Neurospora crassa OR74A: one gene and its partners. The protein of the gene in region 2 interacts with the protein of the main gene of each other region in a biochemical or structural test. Links are inferred from orthologs where the notes say so. Each region holds a gene or a part of one and is shown on either strand. Other genes may lie near its edges.

Region 1 (5,213 bases), on a different chromosome or scaffold from region 2:
ACATCCCTGCCTAAGCATATATATCCATCTTCTAACCGTTAATCTACTACACCTTACCCAACTTCCCATCCGCCTTTGCTTTGACCATGACTCAGCACTTAAAAGGACAAGTGACAGATGGAGCCATCCGACGGGAACTAAGCCACTGCGCTGTGAAACGAGGACGGTCTACGGTGTAACAATGTGGGCAACATCAATGCGGCTGTCCATGAAGACTCCTGGCCTTTTGACGTTTCTATTCCCAGCAAGTCTCATGCCGCCAACAAGCTTGGATGAATCTATGGTTAGACTTGCCCTTCGGATTGATAAGTGCATTCTTCATGGTGAGGATGATGTCCTTCGGTGATGAGTTTGGGCAGTAAGATAATTGTGCACATTATCACCAAACTTTTTGACCCAAGATGTACGTATGATGAGATAGCAAGTTGAGTGTGAAGCAAGGACCAAAGTTGGAAAGCAAAGAGCATGCATGGGTGGTTCTGACTGTTGCGACCTAGTATTCTTGACGACGCTCACCTATACAACCTGTATGCTGAGAGCACTCAGGCCATCATTTTAGTAAGGCTGCTCAGTGTAGTTCATAAAATTATCACAGGCATTCGTGCTCATACAAAGGAAGATGTGTTGAGAGCGAGGAGTATGCGGATGTCAAATTTTCCTTCATTTTCCCGTCCATCCATTCTCCCCTTCCCAAAAAGAGAACACAAGCAATATCTCGAGGTCGCAGGTGCTGCGGGTATAAGTTCATCTACACCTCCCCCTTTTCGTTCTTCCACCCTTGCTTCCTTCTTCCAAATAATCCATCCCTCTTGAGCATGCACTTCCATTGATAACCCATCTAGTCACTATCCTCATCCTCTTCATCACTGTCTTCGTTGCTATCCTCCTCATCTGCATTCTCCAGCCATTCGACCAGCACACGACTCCTCTCCTTGATCTTGGAGAGTGTATCATTCTCTGCAGCCCTGGCATCCGCCCACCAGGCGAGAATACCTTCCTCCTCGAGAACGTCCAAGTTATAAAGCTGCTGCAGCATGGCGGCAAGTAGCGTTCCTGCGCGCGCAGAATCAAGCCCCTTAATGGCTGCCAAAGCTTTCTGCAACGCGAGGGCAAACTCAGCGTGGAGATCGACCTTGTTTCCGCCGACGCCAACCTCTGTAATGAACTTGACGGCACCCTTCTTGGACGTAAGAGCCCGGCCAGCGGCCTTGGTAGGCTCAAGACCGCCGTTTTCGGGACTCATGAGCTCGGCGGCGCGAGTGGCAAAGGCTACGGCAATGGCCTTGCGCATCATGCTGTCCGAAGCATTATTGGCCAGTCTCAAACCCATGAACTCCAGCTTCGCAGAGTCGAAATCCTCGTTGTCGTCAGCACGGAGGGCATCTACAAGTCCGTGAACAGCGTCACCATGAAACTGGTCGAGCTTCATGACGGCGGCAGCGGAATCGTCAGACGCGAAGGAGGATAGGCGCTCCCGGTTGGTCTTGGCTTGGAGGCCTTGCTCGTACTCGTCATCCGAGAGGTCATCATCGGAGTCATGGGTCGCTAATGTGGAGATGGACTCGCTTGAAATGTTGAGGCCAGCCAAAGAGTAAATGAGAGAGCTTTGGAGAACTGCGGGGTCCGCATCGCCTTCATCCTCGGAGTCACTATCCTCGTCGTCTTCTGGCTCTTTATATTGGGCTCCCTTGCCATCGTTTCCGACCAGTTTGATGTCGGTCTTGACCGGCTCTCTTTCACTGGTAAAGAGGGATATTCTCGGTAGGGGTTTGGATGAGAGTTGTGTTCCGGCGCTGATCCGCACACCGTAGGAGATGAGAGAGCCTTGAGGAATGTAGCTGTGCTTACCAATGACTGCATCGTTGGCTACAATGGAATGCAGAACAGTAGCACCGTCTTCGATGACCGCGTCATCCCAGATATAGCTGTTCTCTATCCTCACGTTCTTTCCGATCTGGCACCTCCTTCCGATGATACTGCTCGAGATTGTGCTGCCGGTGTCGACATAGGCGGTCTTCCCTAGTACGGATTTGGTTACTGTGCTGTTTTTTGCGATGTGTGCGCCATCCTCTAACCACAGACCCCGTTTGTACTTGTAAGTTTGTCCGTGAAGAAGGTTGCTATCGGGGACATACGGTAGCGCCCAGCGGTGGAGGATATCCTTGCTGATGCAATCATACATCTGAAGGTTGCTGGCGCGAGCCCCGTAGCCTTCCTCAAGAATCTCGGCGCTGATGATCTTGCCGTTGAGCTCCCAGTCTTTCAGTACGCCGTGAAGGAAGTTCTTGCGGGGAAGCTCGTAGTCGAAGCTCTCGGACCACAAGGCCAAAACATCTGGCGTGCAAATATCGATGCCACAATCGATCAGATCGGTGCGTAAGTCGAACTCAGCATACTCGAATACCGACTCGTCCAACTTGACATACTTGTCCTTCTGAAGTGGGTGCATCTCTTCATATTGCAGACAACGGCCGTTGGTGGGGTCGACAACAAAGACAGGAGTAATGCCCCGGGCCTTTGCAGTCCGGTGAGGGCTGTCTCCTGTTGAGCGCAAGACGATGGTCATGCAGGCGTCTCTGTTGGCCTCTCTCCTTGCGCGGTGCCTAGCCAGAATACCATCGAGGGGGATGTTTGCGACAACATCGCCATGAATCAGAATGAAGTCACCCGAGATAAGACTGCGCTTGTCAAGATCTCGCAAAAAGTCACCGATGGAGCTTGCGTCGGACACGCGGATGAAGTCGACAGAAGAGAAGGGGCAGAGATTGCTTTCAGGGCTCCATCGGTCAGAGTCGTGGATGTAGGTTTCGACGTCTTCGGAGTGGGCGCCGCAGTAGATGAAGACCTCCTGGACGCCGTTGGAGGCTAGATACTCGAGCGTGTATTCGATAACGGGCACGTTGACCAACGGAAGGAGACACTGTCAGGAGAAGGCCGTCAGTACTCAGAGGTCACCAGGGACAAGGGACACGAAGCATTTAGCACGAAGCATGAAGGCATTTACCCTGGGCTTTTCAAGCGCGAAAGGCTGAAAGCGATCTTGGAAAGAATCGGCGAGGATGACGGCCTGGAGAGCATCTTCTCTCTTCTCCTCGGCGCCGCCCTTGGCGGGCTTTTTGGACTTATTGGCAGCCCCGCCCTTGCTGACTTGCTTGCCCGACATTGCCAACTGAAGTCTATTTATCAGCTCGAACTCTACAGGAATGGGTCGACGAGGGCCTGGTTGAGTAAGTGGCCGCGGATCGGGAAGCGCGGGGAAGACTGTGGTAGAAGGAAAAAGGTGGGGCTGCACAATGTCAAGAACGGCGCGTTTGAACTTCAAAGCTGGGGTTGATGATGCGCCTGCCTCGGCCGCCGTGCGGTACCAAAACCTTGCAATGATGAGTCAACGCAGTGACCCAATTTGTCCAAACTTTCACATTGTGTTTTCCGTAAGGTACTGCATGCTTGGAGGTGGGGCGCAGGGCTATCACCTGTGGCTTGTACGTACCATCGGGGCCTTAAGTTTACCGTACCGCGTACCAACTGCACTGAGCCTTACAGGTGGTAACTTTCATCAGTGGAAAATTGTGGCGTTGGAAATCACTAGCCGCATTTGGGCTCCCATCATATCGATCATGACAACTGAAGTAGCCGCATCAAGCACATCATAGCACCGGCACTGAACAGTACTTCGTGTCCTAGTCGTGTACACTACAACACGATAGTGCTTAGCATCTCCCTTGGCCGCACAAAAACGGCAACATGTATGAAAGGGAAGGTACTAAGTAGTGTGAATAGTACACTTGAGCCCTGGAAAGTTCGTTAGCTCGGTACATACAGGGGTTTTGACAAGGGAGGCGACTAGGGATAAATCCAATCAAATTACGCATACGAGGCCCGCACAGGAAGAACAGGGACAACAAAGCTACCGTAAATCAATCAATTTCACATACTAAAACCAGGGATTCTCAAATACCACAATTGTAACCGTAACCTCAGCCAAATCAATAGTCGGTATACCCGCCTTTTGCCTTAATAACCGCCTCAAGCCTTCTAGGCATTAAATATACTAAGCAAAGTAAGTAGTCCTCTAATACAACCTCCCAAGCCTTCTCGATAGCCAATTTAAAGCTATTCCCAATCAGTCTAATTAGGTATTCACACTCAATCCATCTCTTCATAAAGGCCCAAACGTTCTCAATAGAATTAAAATCAAGGGAGTAGGGCGGCCAATCGACAATAGTAGCGCCAACAAAAGCATCCTTTATAAATACCTTCGTTAACTTCGAACTATAAGCTAGTGCATTGTCTTACATAACGACAAAAAACGAATTCTCTTACCAAAATTACCGCAGAAAAGGGAAGACATACTTCTAGTAAATATCGCTAGTAATCGTACCCCAATCCTTATAATTCCAAAAGAGGAATGTACCCTTTTTTTTACCTATAAAGTAAATCTAAAATATCCATCCCCGAACTCTAATTTTAATTTTAACGAAGTCGCTAACCTTCTCATCCTTAAAAAGGGTAACGAAATAACAGCTTTAAGTAACGCTATTTACCTACGTCTCATTAAACTAAATCCAAATCTCCTATTCCAATAGGGTAAAGCCGGCGTACCATAAAGCAAATTTAAAGTGGAAACGACAGGTCTTATCGCTTAGAGGAAGATAAATTAGTTATTCAATGCAACGGACACCCTAAATCTCTATTGCAGCTTAAATAGCCTCGCAACCGTAGCTATTAAATTTAAATATATACTTCCCCAATTTTACCTACAATAAGAATCTTTTCGATTTTATAGGGGTATTTATATACTAAAAGAGAATATTAACAACGGCCGGCGGAATGGTAAGGGGTCTACCCCCCGAATTGTAATAAGGGATAGCCTTAACGAGATAAGTATATTGAACTTATTTAATAGTAAAATTGAGGGCGGCAGCAATCTCTTTATAATCCATCTTAGTATACGTCCGAAGCGCCTTATAAATAATATACTCCTTGTATATAGTTAGTACCGACTTTCGTTATTGAAGGGACGGTTGAAATATAAAAAATAACTCGGCGGGGTTAACCGACAATAAGAAGGAGGTATTAGCACTAGGTAAGGGTAACAATAAAGGGTCTTACCTACCGCCGTTATTATTATTATTATTATTATAAACGTTGCGGACTTATTAGGGTTAAAGCGGGGTAGGACCTTCGAATCCAAATAAGGATAACCGTAACCG
Region 2 (5,079 bases):
CTCGAAGAATCATGAGCTAGGGGAGACATTGTTAGAGACTCAGCCGAAGCCATCCCACGTTGCATAACGTGGTTGTCGGACAATGGGGTACCTGGGATGGACGGGAGGGTATCGTTCGACTGCTGGAAGTTGGCGTTCATAGGATAACCAGGCATAGCGGTGCCAGGAGCGGAAGGCGTTGGGTCGGGGCTGTCGTCGTCGTCGGTGTCATGCATTTGGATATCTTCAGTGAAGAGTGACATGATAGAGAACAGTGATGACATGGGGGCACCGTTCCGCACTTCGGTCAGAAGCTGGTAGCGCTGGCGACCCGGAGCAAAGCCTTCCTCATCGTCGCTCTCGAACGAAGGGCCACTGCTTGAGCGTCGACCATCTCTGGCGGATTTAACAAAGATCTCCACCATACCGTCGACCACAAGACAGAATCCTTGCTCTTCTTCGAGGTTGAGGGTTTCGCCAGCGATCAGCTTCCTCGTTTGCATGCTGCGGGTCAGTTCATGGAAAACCGGCCTTTCCAGATAACCAAAGATTTTGATGGCGCTGAGAAACTCGTCAAAGTAGCTAGCTAGCCCAGACTTTACTCCTTCCTCCTGTGTTTCGGGGAACAGATCAACAGCTGGCTCTTTGCGCTGGGGCTCAGGAGGAAGCCGTGAGTACATGTTTAAGTAGCGATATCTGACTACCCAGGTCACTCCTGCCATCATGAACAACATAATAAGCACACTAAGCATACCGACGGTTAGATCCACCAGCCTTGAGTCCATGTATACAAAATGCGGCTGGCGGATGACTTACAGCGTAGTGGCGTTCATGGTCACCGTCAGACTAGTCGAAAAGATGTTGAACAGAAAGGTGGGTGTAGTGATGGTGGTCAGCTTGATGACAAAGTATAGCACACTCGAGATGCGGTGCAACAGCCAGAGGATGATGGTGAACCATGAAGTCGGGGTGTGTTCGGGAACCACATCGCTAGTAGCTTTCGAGACCGCATCGCTGGCGAGAGCGACGACAGACGAGAGGGCTTCTGTAGGATCGGCGAGGATTGCCGTCGCAGTCGTGGACGTTGTCTCGGAAAGCACCGAGCTCATGGCGTTGCCGAGGTTGCTAAGAGACTCCATTTTCAGAAGCCTGAAGCACCAAGCAAGCAAGCCAAGAGTTACCGGGCGAGCCCGTCGTGTAGATCGGTTCTGACAGAAAGAAGAGAGTGTGTATGTATGTTTTTGTTTTTGTGTTTCCTTTTTTTTATAGGGTTGTAGGTATCGCGGTAGTGTCGCGCCGTCGTCGTGGGGATGGTCGTGAAGAATAGTTGGTGTTCGATCGATCAGCGTGTCTGAACCCCAAAAGTACCGTCGCAACCTGATCAAGACCTATGAGCTGTCCCCTCCCCGATGTGCCTGTGGTTGAAACCCAACTCTTACTACCTGGTCTGCGGTGTCGTCGCTCTGTTCTTTTTCATATCGGTCCAAGTGTTGTCACCCAAGACGGAGACCGTCGAGAAAAGCGAAACGGGTGAGCTCCTCCAAAAGTAACGACATGTGCGGAGGGTTTAGATGAGCCCAGTGTCGTCGGGTGTTGGTCGGCCCTCGGGATTCGTTTGGGTGCCGTGCAAAAGTCGAATCTCCAAGTCGCCGTTGGTGGACAAGCAAGGTTCAGTGATTGAAGCTCCCTAGCTCGACGATGTCCAAGGAAGATTCCAGGCTTATCAGTGACTAACCCCACTGTCGGTTCACGATTGACGTCGTTGTTCCTGCCCACTGAGCTGGCGCTTGGCACAGTGGAGTTCGGGGCAGGTGGAGTAAGTAGAGGTACCTAACCGAGAGCAGGTACCTGCCTTTGCGTACCGTTGTTCCCACCTGGGCTGCTGTGCGCTTCCTTACCTAGGTACCCGACTTACCCCACCTCAAAAAAAAAAGATGGAGCCGCGTCTCACTTGCCGTCACGGTCAGAACGTGAAATTCACCCCTCAATCCGGCGCACCAGCCACAGCCTACTTCGTTCCCTCCCAAAGTGCCCACGCCACTTTTGCAGCCTGTCTGCACGTAATTTTTGGTTGGTACCCGAAAAATACTGCGACGCATCTGGCTAACTTTGAGTGAGTCCTTTGAGCCTCGCTGGACCCTCCGAGAACCCGCTGCCGCAACCAGAACTCGAACTTCCAGAGGACCTTTCCCAGCTGTGGCCACTTGCAGCGAAACTCGGTCAATTTTCTTTCTCGGCCATCAACCCCTCCAGACCATCCACTCGAATTCCATCTCGCCCATTGTCGCGAAGCTCGTCGCCGACATTACCCTCCCCCTTTCAACACCACTAACACCACCACTTATTTCACCGTTTGCCCCGCCCGGGAAAAGGCACCAGTCGCCAACATGTCGCTCTCAAACTGCCGTTTCTATGAGGAGAAGTATCCTGAAATCGACTCGTTCGTTATGGTCAATGTTAAGCAAGTACGATACACTGGGGTCCCGGTGGTGCGCATGCGCATGTGGATGCGTCAGAGCTGACCCCCAGATTAGATTGCCGATATGGGCGCCTACGTCAAGCTTCTCGAGTACGACAACATCGACGGCATGATCCTGCTCTCTGAGCTTTCCAGAAGACGTATTCGTTCCATCCAGAAGTTGATCCGTGTCGGTCGCAACGAGGTCGTCGTCGTTCTCCGTGTCGACAAGGAGAAGGGTTATATCGATTTGTCCAAGCGTCGTGTGTCCCCCGAGGATATCGTTCGTTGCGAGGAGCGTTACAACAAGAGCAAGATCGTCCACTCGATTATGCGCCACGTTGCCGAGAAGACTCTTGTTCCCATCGAGCAGCTTTACGAGACAATAGGATGGCCCCTCAACAAGAAATACGGCCACTCGCTTGATGCCTTCAAGCTTTCGATCACGTACGTCATTCCGGGAAATAGGCGTACAGCTGTGGGACAAAATGGCGGTATTGGACAAGATGCTGACATGGATGTGAAGCAACCCCGACGTCTGGAATGACATCCAGTTCCCCACCGAGGCCGTTGCCGAGGAGCTCAAGACCTACATCAGCAAGCGTTTGACTCCCCAGCCTACCAAGGTCCGTGCCGATGTTGAGGTCACTTGCTTCGGCTACGAGGGTATCGATGCTATCAAGACCGCTCTCCGCACTGCGGAGGCTCGCAACACTGAGGAAACCCAGGTCAAGTGCAGACTTGTGTCCCCTCCCCTTTATGTGTAAGTCTTTGCCAGAAATAGTCTTGCAATGTTGAAGACAGAGTGGAAGCTAATAACTATACACAGCCTTACCAACACCTGCTTGGACAAGAATGCCGGTATTGCCCGCCTTCAGGAGGCCATTCAAGACATGCGGACCAGCATCGAGGCTGCTGGTGGCCACCTTGTGGTGAAGATGGAGCCCAAGGCTGTCACTGAGTCCGATGATGCTGAGCTCCAAGCTCTTATGGAGAAGCGTGAGCGTGAGAACGCTGAGGTCAGCGGCGACGAGAGTGTCAGCGAGTCCGACGACAATATCCCCGAGACCGTCTAAAGCGCCTCTTCATTTTGCAGCCATTCTTAAACGGAGCTATCTTTGCAGGCTCATTGGGATACTCGACACTATTTTGAGGAAAGGTTTAGGGATGCATGTATACAGTTTTTGCGACACAGGGCTGGCGTCTAGGGGATACAAAAGTCCTTCAGGCGGTAGAGGAATCAACCAAAAGATTGCATCAAGCGTATGCCTAATGAATGTGAGCGAGGGACGAGGATTGATGAACACAAGACTTGATATGGATACATAGTCATTTTATGGATGCACTTGCTGTAACTAGGTAGATCTAGGCGTTCAAGGATATGCAGCTACCGGGGCTGATAAGCGATCTCATCGTTTTCTTATCGCCGCCTGCCCGGGCATGTGGCTGCAATTATTGTCTTCTCCATGTTAACACACAAGCTCCGTACTGCTCACTGCCCTGCTCACTGAGCACGTTGAGGCGAACATACGCCCTCTATTTCACAGCAGCATTGCGATTCACAGCAAAGAGTTGCATCGCATTGACATCTTCGGTAGCTCGATAACTCGCTTGGTCGGATAGCGATGGCGGCGCGATGGGGAGCAGGAATTCGGAACGGATTCCTCGGTCAGTTCTCACACTACCTCATTCGCTACGCAACATGGATCCCTCCATTGGTGGTCTTCAACGGCTGGGTTGCCGAGATCACACAAATCAAGGGGCCGTCCATGTATCCTTTCTTCAACCCGCACTACAATGAGTCAACACGTCGGGACATCGTACTGGTCTCTAAGTGGTACCCGGACCGGAACCTCAAGCGCGGCATGATTGTGACCTTTAGGTGAGATCCAAAATCTCATCCTACAGCATCTGGCGTGCCGCATTCGGGGCATTGGTTGGGAACCTGACGACTAACTGTAACCCAGAAACCCACTGAACCCAAAGGGAAAGGTCGTAAAAAGAGTGGTCGGAATAGCAGGCGACGTGATCCGTACCAAGGCGCCTTACCCGCATGAATACGTCCAGGTACCAGAAGGGCACATCTGGGTAGAGGGAGACGGCGACAAGACCAAGGACAGCAACTACTACGGCCCGATATCAGCGTGCTTGGTCACCGGCCGTGTCACGCATATTCTGTCGCCGTGGGATCGATTTGGGCGGGTAAAGTGGTGGGAGCATAACTTGCGACCGGGGATCAAGAAGGCACGCCATCTGCTGGAGTGAGCCATTGCGAATCGATACACACCTTGTTTGCGTGAATGGTTCATATTCACACATGCTGCTTTCTTGGGTGCACACACAGTCCTTGTGGGTTTGTAGACGAGATAAGATGCTCATCGTCAACAAACACCACGGGTGGGAAACGACAAGGGTGGCGGCAGTCAAACAAAGAGGAGGAAACATCAGCAGTTTCAGTGCTGGACCACAGGCCTCTGTTTGTTTACTATTGTCTCAGGGGGGTGCCGAGAGGTCGACTGATGTACAGAATATTCGAGGGGTCCGATGGTTACGTGCGGGTTAACAACACGCACGAGCCACATCGATTGCTGCATGAACCCTGCAACCCGACGGTGCGCCCGAAAAAAGGTGCGGCGCTTTGG
Region 3 (5,132 bases), on a different chromosome or scaffold from region 2:
GTTTCCTTCTTTTTCTTTCCCAGCTCCAGCGCCAGCTCCAGCCCCAGACCCAGATCCAGACCTAACAACAACAACCTTCGTTCCCCTCGTCTGCTCCAACAGGAACCAAGCCGCAAACGCACCCGTAATCCCCGACCCGACAATCACCGTATCAGCCGACTGCGGCAAATCATGCGTGGACCGATAATCATCAAGCCTCTGAGAAATATCGCTTGGTTGCAGCCAGTAGGAGGCGCTGGGATTGGCGGAGGGGAGTCCGGCCTGGCCTGAAGAGGAGGGACCAGGGTTGATGTTGCTGCTGCTGGTTGTGTTCATGTTCGTTTCCTGTTGGGTCGGTTGGGCGGCTCGGCCGAGGTCGCTGTGGTGGTGAGAAGAAGGGTGGGGGATGTGCTGGTCGACTCCTCTGGGGCCGGTTTAGCGGATGGTCATTTTGGCTTGTACCTGGTGGTTGTGATGATGAAGGGGAAGACTTGAGTGATGAGTGGAATCGAGCAGGTAAAGTAGTGATGAGTCACGTTACGCGTTGACTTGGAAAGTGTTGACTAATCTATCGAACAGACAGACGAGGTTGAACCGTTGAGTTGTTGCCTGCGGCCCATCGTCTTATATGGGTTTGTTGATGCAAAATGTGGAGGGGAAAGATTCTCCCGAAGCTAACTATCATGCATGTGCTCGGCATATCATGGATCGATCGCCAAAACATCGGAACGTAGTGTATACGCAATGTATACGCGTCAAGGTGAGATTTCGAACCTAAGCGGCCGCTTTTTCTCACCAATCGCGGAGTATCAAGGTTTATCATTTTACTCAACTGCCACTTTGAGTTTCGATAACATAATGTAGTTTATAAAGGTAGACTGAATGGCTATACATACTGCAAAGAACAGAGAATAATTCCTGTTCGCAAGATCTCAAAATCCATCGCTTCGTAATCCTGCGCTCAGTCAGCCTCTTCCTTGCTCTCCCAGTCTAGCTTGCTGACCATGGTCATGAATGACCTGAGAACCTCTGAATCCCACATCAGTCTAGATACAACCTCGCAGCCCTCATCCATATAAATCAGACAAGCTCAGGAAAAGAAGAAAGCCCTCCTCTTTATCAGACTCCCTATGCAAAGTAAGGATAAGTGTGCCACCATCATCAAAAACCAGAACTTTTTGTGTACCAATTCTTCATCAAGTATCGTCATATTAACCCGTACCCTACCGCGTAAGGAATTCACCTGATTTTGTAGCACAGACTCTCTCTTCCATCCTCTCTCTCGTGTACTGGAGATGAGAGATTGCCGTTCAGAGGGGCCGTGCTACTTCGTAAAAGACCCGTGCCCAACCAGCCATATACAATGCCGTCTTAACTCCGTCCTTGAAGCGTGAAAACATTGAAAAGCAAACTGCAAGGGCCTCGAAACAAGAAAACAAAAACCGCTTAACCCTGCATCTTCTTTCTCTTGCCGACCTGGGCAGAGAAACCGGTCTTAATGGCCTGGACAGACCGCCTAGAACCGCAAGAGTTGCAGGTAATGAAACTGTGACATGTCAGCATTTTGGGGCTATGGTCGTCGTAAACAGAGGCCAACTTACTAAAGACGGTTCTCGCCCTTGGAGAGCTCGGTGTTGGGGGAACGGCACGTCTTGCAGGTAACGTACTCTGTTGAGCATGTTAGCATTTGTAGTCAGAGCAAAACGTTGGGTGCTGGTGGTGACATTGTCTACTTGGGCGCAAAACGTCCAAACGACGACAGGATCAAATAGACATACCGATAATGTAGGTACGCAGAACGTTCTCGATCTGCTTCTGCTGGAAACGACCCTTGATGACCAGACGCCTGCTGCCGTCGACGGAACCGCTGGTACCCAATTCGGCGAAAAGGTAAGAAGTAACGTGCTCGTCGGCTCTCTTCATGCGCTTGCAAATCTCGGGCAGGTTGGCGAAGATGGTCTTCTTGTTGCCTTCACGGAGACACTGCGGGGGCGGGATCTTGTACGACCGTGTACCGGTAGAGGCGTGGTCGGGGTTCTTTTGCGAGAGAAGGGCGAAGAAACGGGACAGAAGAGCGTTGTAGCTGATGGGCTTGGTCTCGTCGTGGGCCCAAATGCCGGTGCCCTGGTCCATATCGCCCTCCTGCTCGTCCTCCTGGGGGGCGGCCTCCTCGCCCTCCTTGCCCTCAATGTTGAGAGCCTCCAGCTTCTTGGCGAACTCATCATCCTCCTTGACGACCTTCTTCTTCTTCTTTTTCTTCATGGTGAGGTCGATAGCACCGTCACCCTCGGCAGGGGCGGCCTCATCAGCAGCGGCGTCGGCATCGTCCTCCTTCTTGACCTTCTTCTTCTTCTTCTTCATGAGCGAAAGGTCGAGGCCATCATCGGCGGCGGGGGCGGCAGCAGCAGCAGCATCCTGGGGCTCGGTGGCTTGGGGGGCATCAGTAAAGGCCCCGAGAGCGGCGTGGAGGGGCGGCGTACGAGCAGAGTGGGACTGGGCAGTCTCCTTGATTTCGTCGGCGGGAGAGGCGTCCATGGTGACAGAACCGTCGGGGTTGACAACTAGCTTCTCGTCGGTAAAGGTGACAGACTTGCGCGAGGGGCGTCTTTTGATAGAGGGCGCCTAAAGGGTTAGTATATCGGAGTGGATAAGGCGCTTGTCGTGGGAGTCGCGATAGCGGTCAAGGATTTCGCCGTCGAGTGTGGATAGGAAAGCTCGGAATTTTTTGGGATGATTGGCGGCGTTTTCGCGCTGCAGAGTGCCAGAACTTTATGGTGGATTTTGGGCTGGGGGTGGAGGGAGAGGGTTGGCGCCTTGGAGGGGCAGTACACGTCAGGGGACTTGAGGGCTGGGGCCGGGGATAGGTATAATTGCACTGCGTAGGTAGCAAAGTACAGTGAGGGGTGTGCAGTGTGGTGAATGGGACTTTTTATTTCCTTAGTATTTTTGACTAGGCGAGAAGCGTGGCTCCCCCCAGGGCTCGAGGTGTCTGCCTCTAGCGTGGTGGTAGGGTCGGGGAGGACGGAGGGTGTGTTGTGTGGGCGTAGAGGTAGTGAGTGTGTACTGAAGCAAGGAGATCCATCCCAGGTACTTACTTCAGAATCCATGCTGGGCCACTGGTGTGTTTGAGAGTGTGGTGGTGTCTGTCTGTCTGTCTGTAGGTGTGTGATTGTCCGTCTTTTTCTTTGTAATCGATGTCTCTTCCGGTGGACTCTTTGTTGGTCGCAGAGAGTGGATTTTGTCGATGGATGAGATTAGGTAGACTTTGGGGTCGGGAGAGGTATCGATGCAGGCAGACTGATCTCAGCTTTCTTTCAGTTTCGGACCTGGAATTGTTCTTTGCGGGGACCTAGGTAGTTGGATGCCGCTTGGGTCCTGGTCTGGTTACCTACTACTACTGTCGTTTAGTTCTGTCGTTGGGCTGGAGACTGAGCGGAGTTCTTTCTGTACACACGGCTCTGGATGGGGCACCGGCACCACGCCTCAGCTGTGTTCACCTCATGACGTTGATTGAAGCGAAACTGTGAGTCAGTCTTCTCAATCACCTGACAAGTGGGGTGGGAAGAGCTCAGACAGCTGCCCGCCACTTGCAACTACAAATCGCCTCCGCTTCTCCATTTTCCAGGCCATGCAGCCCTCCTCCCTGCAGCACGGTGCCTTCAACCCGCTCGAGCCACGGCCGCACAGTCCGACACGGTTGGGTTGGCACTGGCACTTGCAGTCCGGTGCAGTGCTTGGCGGCAGCGATAGGTGAGTGGTGTCCATTCCAGCATCGCATAGCTGCACTGCTGCAGCAGTTGGTGCCGTGGCCCGTCATCGGTCACCGACAACAACCAGCTCCATCACGAACCTTGGAAGGCGCGCCGAGTCCGTAGAGGTATCCATCTCCGTGTATCGCTGTGTTCGTAACCGACAACGAATCTCCCAGCAGCAATCAAGTTCGTCCCACGCGATTTCTACAATATCCTACACGTCAGGCGTTACGCCGATTCGTACAGTGTCTCCATCCCGAACTATCGCAATTTGCCCGAGCTACGATAGCTACTTACAGTACCATCTTCACCGCGACAACCGACCGTGCGCCGGCGCCGACCACTTGCTCGCCTCATCCAAACCACACTGACGATAGCTACCTACTCCCGGCCAGAGACGCGATACCCTCAGACAGACAAATTGCGCATTCGGGACATCCAAAACCATGTCCACCCCCTCCGATTCCTACGTCCTCCACGACCACTCCCCGTCAACCGACAACGACGATGTCGACTCCCTCCCGTCCATCTCCAGCAGTATCCTAGGCTCGGACGACTCCGAGTACGACGACGAATCAGACGCACAAAAGGAATGGGAACAGAGTCTCGAGCAGCTGCAGCTTCTCTTGAACTTGGTGCTAATACCGTTCGCGGGCAAGTTTTTGGGGCGCAAGTTTGCTTATTGGAGTAAGACAAACCAAAACCAGATCTTGGGAAAGACAGCTTGCGCTGTGGGAGGAGACAATAACGACGATGCGGAAAGTCAGTTGCTAACATGGCCCGGCAGGTTGGGGACGGTACATGGAGTGGGCGCACGGGGTCAAGGTCCAATGGTATAACAAGACGCTATTCAACATTGCCGGTTGGATAGGAGCTGCTACGCCAGTATCAGTATGAGGGAGGCAGACAGGCGACCGTGGTGATGAGGTACTCGAGTCAAAGGCGACGGCAGCACAATTCTCGATACCCTATTTTTTCGGTATAATCTGGGATACCAGGGGTGGACACAGTGCTCTTTTGGCGTTACGGTATGGGAACACTAGCATAAAGGGGTATGTTTCGTTCTTGCACAGTTTGCGTTGCATTGGTGGTGAAGAATTACAGACATGTGTAGAATGCATGTGGACTGTCGTTATACTTGTGGAAGCAAGCGTTGAAGCTCTGCAGATACATCTGATCATCAGACAATGCCAATTATACCCATTACTATTGCTGACTTTAGGTTCGACTGATACTATTATAACATGCAGGTTCTGATCTTCCTTTCCTCGTTCGCCATATTAACCCAAGCCATCACTACGTAATTACACTGATCTGGGTATAATTGTCGAGGGTTGCGACACCGCACACCCATGATGAAGCGAATAGCTATCCATCACCATAACTCATCCTTGCTGCCAT
Region 4 (4,058 bases), on a different chromosome or scaffold from region 2:
TTAAACGTGATGTACTACCGTAGTGGTGCCATCTTAACAGTAAAGTGAGCACTCGTCCATGACACTCACGAACATCAAGTCGATAACACATAATGCTGAGGAGATTATTGGGACCATAAGAGAGTAGCTAACAAGCAAGTGGAACCCGATGTGCTGAAGTAGGTAGACCTCGATGGGGCACTGTTTCGTCGACAACGACATGAAGGCGCCTACACCCGGAACCGACTGTCTCGGGCACTTTGATCTTGATGATATCTCGTAGCCGCTTCGGGAAAGGACTACAACGGCTCGGAGGATAGAGAGATTCAGGCATTCATTATGTTTCTGGCATCGCTTGAGCAGTATACTGGAATATGTAGAGATATAAGTGACGTGTCAATTCAACGACTAACTAGATGACGTCCATGAAAGCCCCGATAACGATACACAGACACAGGAAAAGACATCCCTTGAGTGCGAACCATGGGACAAACATGAACCAAGACCTGAGAGTGAGTGGAGAAAACTGATCGCAACCCTTTCACGCATTTATCCATCTGCTTCTGGGTTTTGCATCCTCAAAACAACACAAAAGAGCAAGCTAGACTAGGCATCAAGCGGCAACGGAAGTAGTATCCTCAGTGGCGAGGGACATGATTTACTCATCGTCCTCCTCCTCAGATTCCTCCTCCTCAGACTCGGCCTCGGCGAGCCAGGTGAGGAAGGGCTCAGCAGCCTTGCGGATCTTCTTGGAAGTAGAGCCATCGACGTACTTCTTGGAAGCCTTGCTACCCCACTTGGTGATGACCTCCTCGGAGCAGAGGTCGTGGTGGTAGTAGAGCTGGAGAATCTTGACAATCTTGTCATAAGACTCCTTGCCGAGGTCGGCAAGGAGACGCTCGGTACCGCCAAGGAGGGCCTTCTCGTGACGCTCGGAGGTAACGAGTCTCTTGAGCATAGGAGCACGCTTGGGGATCTGAGCAACAATGTTCTCGTCAAAAAGACACTGAACAAGAACCTGGACGGTGCGGTGCTTGGCATCAATGCCGAGCTCCTTGGCCTTGAGGTAGATCTCGACATCGTCGACATTGTTAATGCCACCCTTGGCCTTGGCTTCATCCTCGATCCAAGTGCCGAGCTGGTCGTAGACGGTGTTTCCACCCTCCTCCTCCTCGTCTTCTTCACCATTCAGGACGAGCTTCTGCTTGAATTCGCCAGGAAGGTTCTGCTGACGGGCACGGACGGCCTCCTCGCTCATGTCGACAGCCCACTCCTCCTCCTTGGGAGCCTCTCTCTTGCCCAACTGCAAGCTCTGAGCCTCAGACTTGATCTTGCGAGTGAGCTCATCATCGTCGCTAGCATATTCAATGTTCTTATCCTCGATGGCAGGAGAGGCCTGGTCGGAACCGTTCTCGTCACCGGAACCTTCCTTATCGCCGCCGTTCTGGCGAGCCTTGCGGGCCGCCTTGCGCTCGGCCTTGTCCTTCTTGCTCTTCTTGGGGACGTTCTTGAGGATGAAGGAGGTCAGCTTGAGCTGGGGCTCAACCTTGCTGCGCTGGCCACAGGCCTTGCAGTCGAGAGTGATCTTCTCGTCCTTGATCTGGACAACCGTCTCGGGGTTCTTGCACTTCTTGCAGAGGACAAACTTGGCAATGAAGCCATCGAGAAGATCCTGGAGCTTGGCGGCCTCGTGGGAGCCGTTGATGATCCAGCGGTCATCAGGAGGATCAATGTTGGTTTGAGCACCAAGCTCGAAACCAAAGTACTTGATCAAATAGCCACCGGGACGAGCCAGGGACTGGGCAACGCTGCTGAGGTTGACAACGACGGTCTTGATACCGTTACCCTTGCCTTCAATCTTGGTCTGGATACGCTCCATCTTGTAGCGGTAGAAGGGGTCGGGGTTGTCCCGACGAACGTTGATAAGAGCACCCATTTTGGCGGTATTGACGGCGAAACAGGATGATGTTTGTAGTATTGTTTTGTTGGAGTTTGTTGGGAGTCTGGTAGACGATACCTAACGAGGGCAGACTAGTAGACTGGTCGACGATGTCGTGGAAAGCGAGGCTTCTTGTTGCACGGAGAGCGTGTGAGGAAGATCGAGAGGCGAGACGAGCCAAAGGGGTCAGTTATTGACGAGTACTTTGAGTTGACATAGGGTAGACCGTGTGGTTAACGAAGTCGAAGGTAGGCATTAACGCTGGCAGACGACCGTGGGAATGGCGATTCAACCGTCGGTACTTTGTTGGAAGCTACAGGGTTTCCGCGATATGCGAAAATGCAGCTTGACGGGGGGAGAGTGTCGGAAGACGGCGTGCTGGTCGTGCTGATACATAAACAACGCTGTGTCGCGCAAAATGCTTATGTTGGGTCTGGTGGTGGTTGTTGTTCTGAACCTGGGCGGTGCTGGAACAGAAAGCTGGGCGGGAGAGGATGGCTTTTGAGGCAAGCGAAATTTTTTTTCTCCCTCTGTGACGAGCGGGCTTCCTTTTCTTGACGGAGCGGAGCGGATGGAGTCGAGTGACTTTGTGTGGGTTTCTGCTGGGATAGTGGATTCACTTCACTTCCGTGGTGCGGCACCCGAAATCCGGGGGAGGTGGAGTTGATGGACAGATGGACAGAGAGCCCGGTCGCCTTTGTGGTCTTGGATAGATTCAAGGACGATGTCGCTGCTGATGGCGGTTGATGGGTAGAATGAAGTTGAGGTTAGTTTGGCAAAAAAGAGGCAGCAAGCAAGAGTTTTTAAAAAAGGACGAGAAAGCAAGTGGATGTGGATCGGTGCTGCAGAATGGAGCCAAACCGGGCACGGGCAACAAGGCGGGCAGTCACTGGACGAGCAAGCAAGAGGATTTGTCGGCCAAAGGATTTTCGTGGTGCCCTGGCTAGCCCCCCCATGTACTGTACACTACCTAGTGTAGTACCTGTGGCTCATGGCAGAGCAAGTCTAGGGTACTTCTTGTTTGGCAGGTAATCACCACCACCAGCGGGCTATGGGCAAAGTACCCGAGACATGTGTCCGTTCTCCAAGCCAGGCAACACCAGTTGCCGTGCAGGTACTGCGTGCAGTTCGTTCTTTCACACACTTCGTTTCGACACCGACAATGGAAGAAGGTCCCGTCGCGTTCCATTCCTACCTGCTTACCATCTCCCCGCCCACTGCAACGGGCAGCACAGCAACAGGACGGACGCGCAATGGCGTATGTTCCGAATGGCAAGTTAGGGAACTTGAAAGATTTTGATGCCATTTTGCCCCTCATCCACTCGGCGTTTCCACGCCTCTGCTTTCGATGCTCGAGTTCCGGCCCAAGGAATGCCTCTTGCAACAAGCTGACTCGCCGGACGGTGGCCAGAAGGCACCTGGACACAGAAGGCCGGATGAAAAGGCGGGACTCTTTGATGACCAGCCGGTATACACTAGAAGATCCACGCAGATGGGGGCGTTCCCTGTGTCTGTGCAATGTCCATCCATCCACACCAGAGACCAGTTCCACTTTGGTTCATTGTACTTTCAGTAACCGAGCCAGGCGGAGGAGGCCTTTGTAGTTGTCGGTCAAGTGAAAGTGACGGTCTCCCTCTCCGCCGTGTGCCTGGGTGTCTCACAACAATTACAGCTTGTCTGGGAAAGCCAATTTCTCTCCTTGGGAAACTTCGGAGTTACGGGGATGTGAAAAATGGGCGGCATTCGGGAAGAATCCGAAACACACGCGATATGTTTTGTCAAGGGAAGGCGGCAATATCAATCAACGCTTAACCAAGTCAACTACCTCTAGGTATGTACACTAGACTCATGCGACAAGCTAGTGTAGAACCAGCCCGCACCAATATCTAGGTAGATCTGTATCCGGCAAAGCGCCCCCCCAAACAGGCAATTACTATGCACCTAAGTCGTTAGGTATTGTGTACGGTTTCTTTCAGGGACGGCATCTCTCACCTCTGCGTCTCTCATTCTCAAGCCAGGGGCATCTGTTTGGCTGCAGGTATCATGTATACTTTCATAGCTCGCAAACAAACAACTTGTCTAAATCTCTTGATGACCTTTCGTGGCCATTTGGCAAGACACCAAGACTGTCAAACATCTA

Evidence for each region.
Region 1: the proteins of NCU08277 (region 2) and NCU02414 form a complex in vitro, tested with the Saccharomyces cerevisiae proteins (2 studies listed by BioGRID). The link is inferred for Neurospora crassa OR74A from reciprocal best matches to the Saccharomyces cerevisiae genes SUI2 and GCD6.
Region 3: the proteins of NCU08277 (region 2) and NCU04640 form a complex in vitro, tested with the Saccharomyces cerevisiae proteins (3 studies listed by BioGRID). The link is inferred for Neurospora crassa OR74A from reciprocal best matches to the Saccharomyces cerevisiae genes SUI2 and SUI3.
Region 4: the proteins of NCU08277 (region 2) and NCU00366 form a complex in vitro, tested with the Saccharomyces cerevisiae proteins (3 studies listed by BioGRID). The link is inferred for Neurospora crassa OR74A from reciprocal best matches to the Saccharomyces cerevisiae genes SUI2 and TIF5.

Annotation. Positions count from the first base shown.
Region 1 is NC_026507.1:2,572,609-2,577,821, forward strand, and holds NCU02414 (translation initiation factor eif-2b epsilon subunit), read right to left. Parts: upstream 3,386-5,213; 5' UTR 3,164-3,385; coding exon 3,005-3,163; intron 2,921-3,004; coding exon 839-2,920; 3' UTR 420-838; downstream 1-419. UniProt on the Saccharomyces cerevisiae protein: Acts as a catalytic component of the translation initiation factor 2B (eIF2B) complex, which catalyzes the exchange of GDP for GTP on eukaryotic initiation factor 2 (eIF2) and is regulated by phosphorylated eIF2.
Region 2 is NC_026504.1:2,568,918-2,573,996, reverse strand, and holds NCU08277 (eukaryotic translation initiation factor 2 alpha subunit), read left to right. Parts: upstream 1-1,929; 5' UTR 1,930-2,366; coding exon 2,367-2,444; intron 2,445-2,513; coding exon 2,514-2,884; intron 2,885-2,963; coding exon 2,964-3,200; intron 3,201-3,266; coding exon 3,267-3,513; 3' UTR 3,514-3,904; downstream 3,905-5,079. Other genes in the region: NCU08276 (hypothetical protein), read right to left, coding at 1-723, 796-1,118; NCU16791 (mitochondrial inner membrane protease subunit 2), read left to right, coding at 4,063-4,319, 4,405-4,702. UniProt on the Saccharomyces cerevisiae protein: eIF-2 functions in the early steps of protein synthesis by forming a ternary complex with GTP and initiator tRNA. This complex binds to a 40S ribosomal subunit, followed by mRNA binding to form a 43S pre-initiation complex.
Region 3 is NC_026505.1:1,363,306-1,368,437, forward strand, and holds NCU04640 (eukaryotic translation initiation factor 2 beta subunit), read right to left. Parts: upstream 3,453-5,132; 5' UTR 3,087-3,452; coding exon 3,075-3,086; exon of another isoform or gene 2,602-3,074; coding exon 2,460-2,601; intron 2,409-2,459; coding exon 1,758-2,408; intron 1,648-1,757; coding exon 1,581-1,647; intron 1,526-1,580; coding exon 1,426-1,525; 3' UTR 779-1,425; downstream 1-778. Other genes in the region: NCU04641 (FAD dependent oxidoreductase), read right to left, coding at 1-315; NCU16952 (hypothetical protein), read left to right, coding at 4,178-4,418, 4,519-4,628. UniProt on the Saccharomyces cerevisiae protein: Component of the eIF2 complex that functions in the early steps of protein synthesis by forming a ternary complex with GTP and initiator tRNA.
Region 4 is NC_026503.1:3,590,980-3,595,037, reverse strand, and holds NCU00366 (eukaryotic translation initiation factor 5), read right to left. Parts: upstream 2,801-4,058; 5' UTR 1,916-2,800; coding exon 638-1,915; 3' UTR 299-637; downstream 1-298. UniProt on the Saccharomyces cerevisiae protein: Catalyzes the hydrolysis of GTP bound to the 40S ribosomal initiation complex (40S.mRNA.Met-tRNA[F].eIF-2.GTP) with the subsequent joining of a 60S ribosomal subunit resulting in the release of eIF-2 and the guanine nucleotide.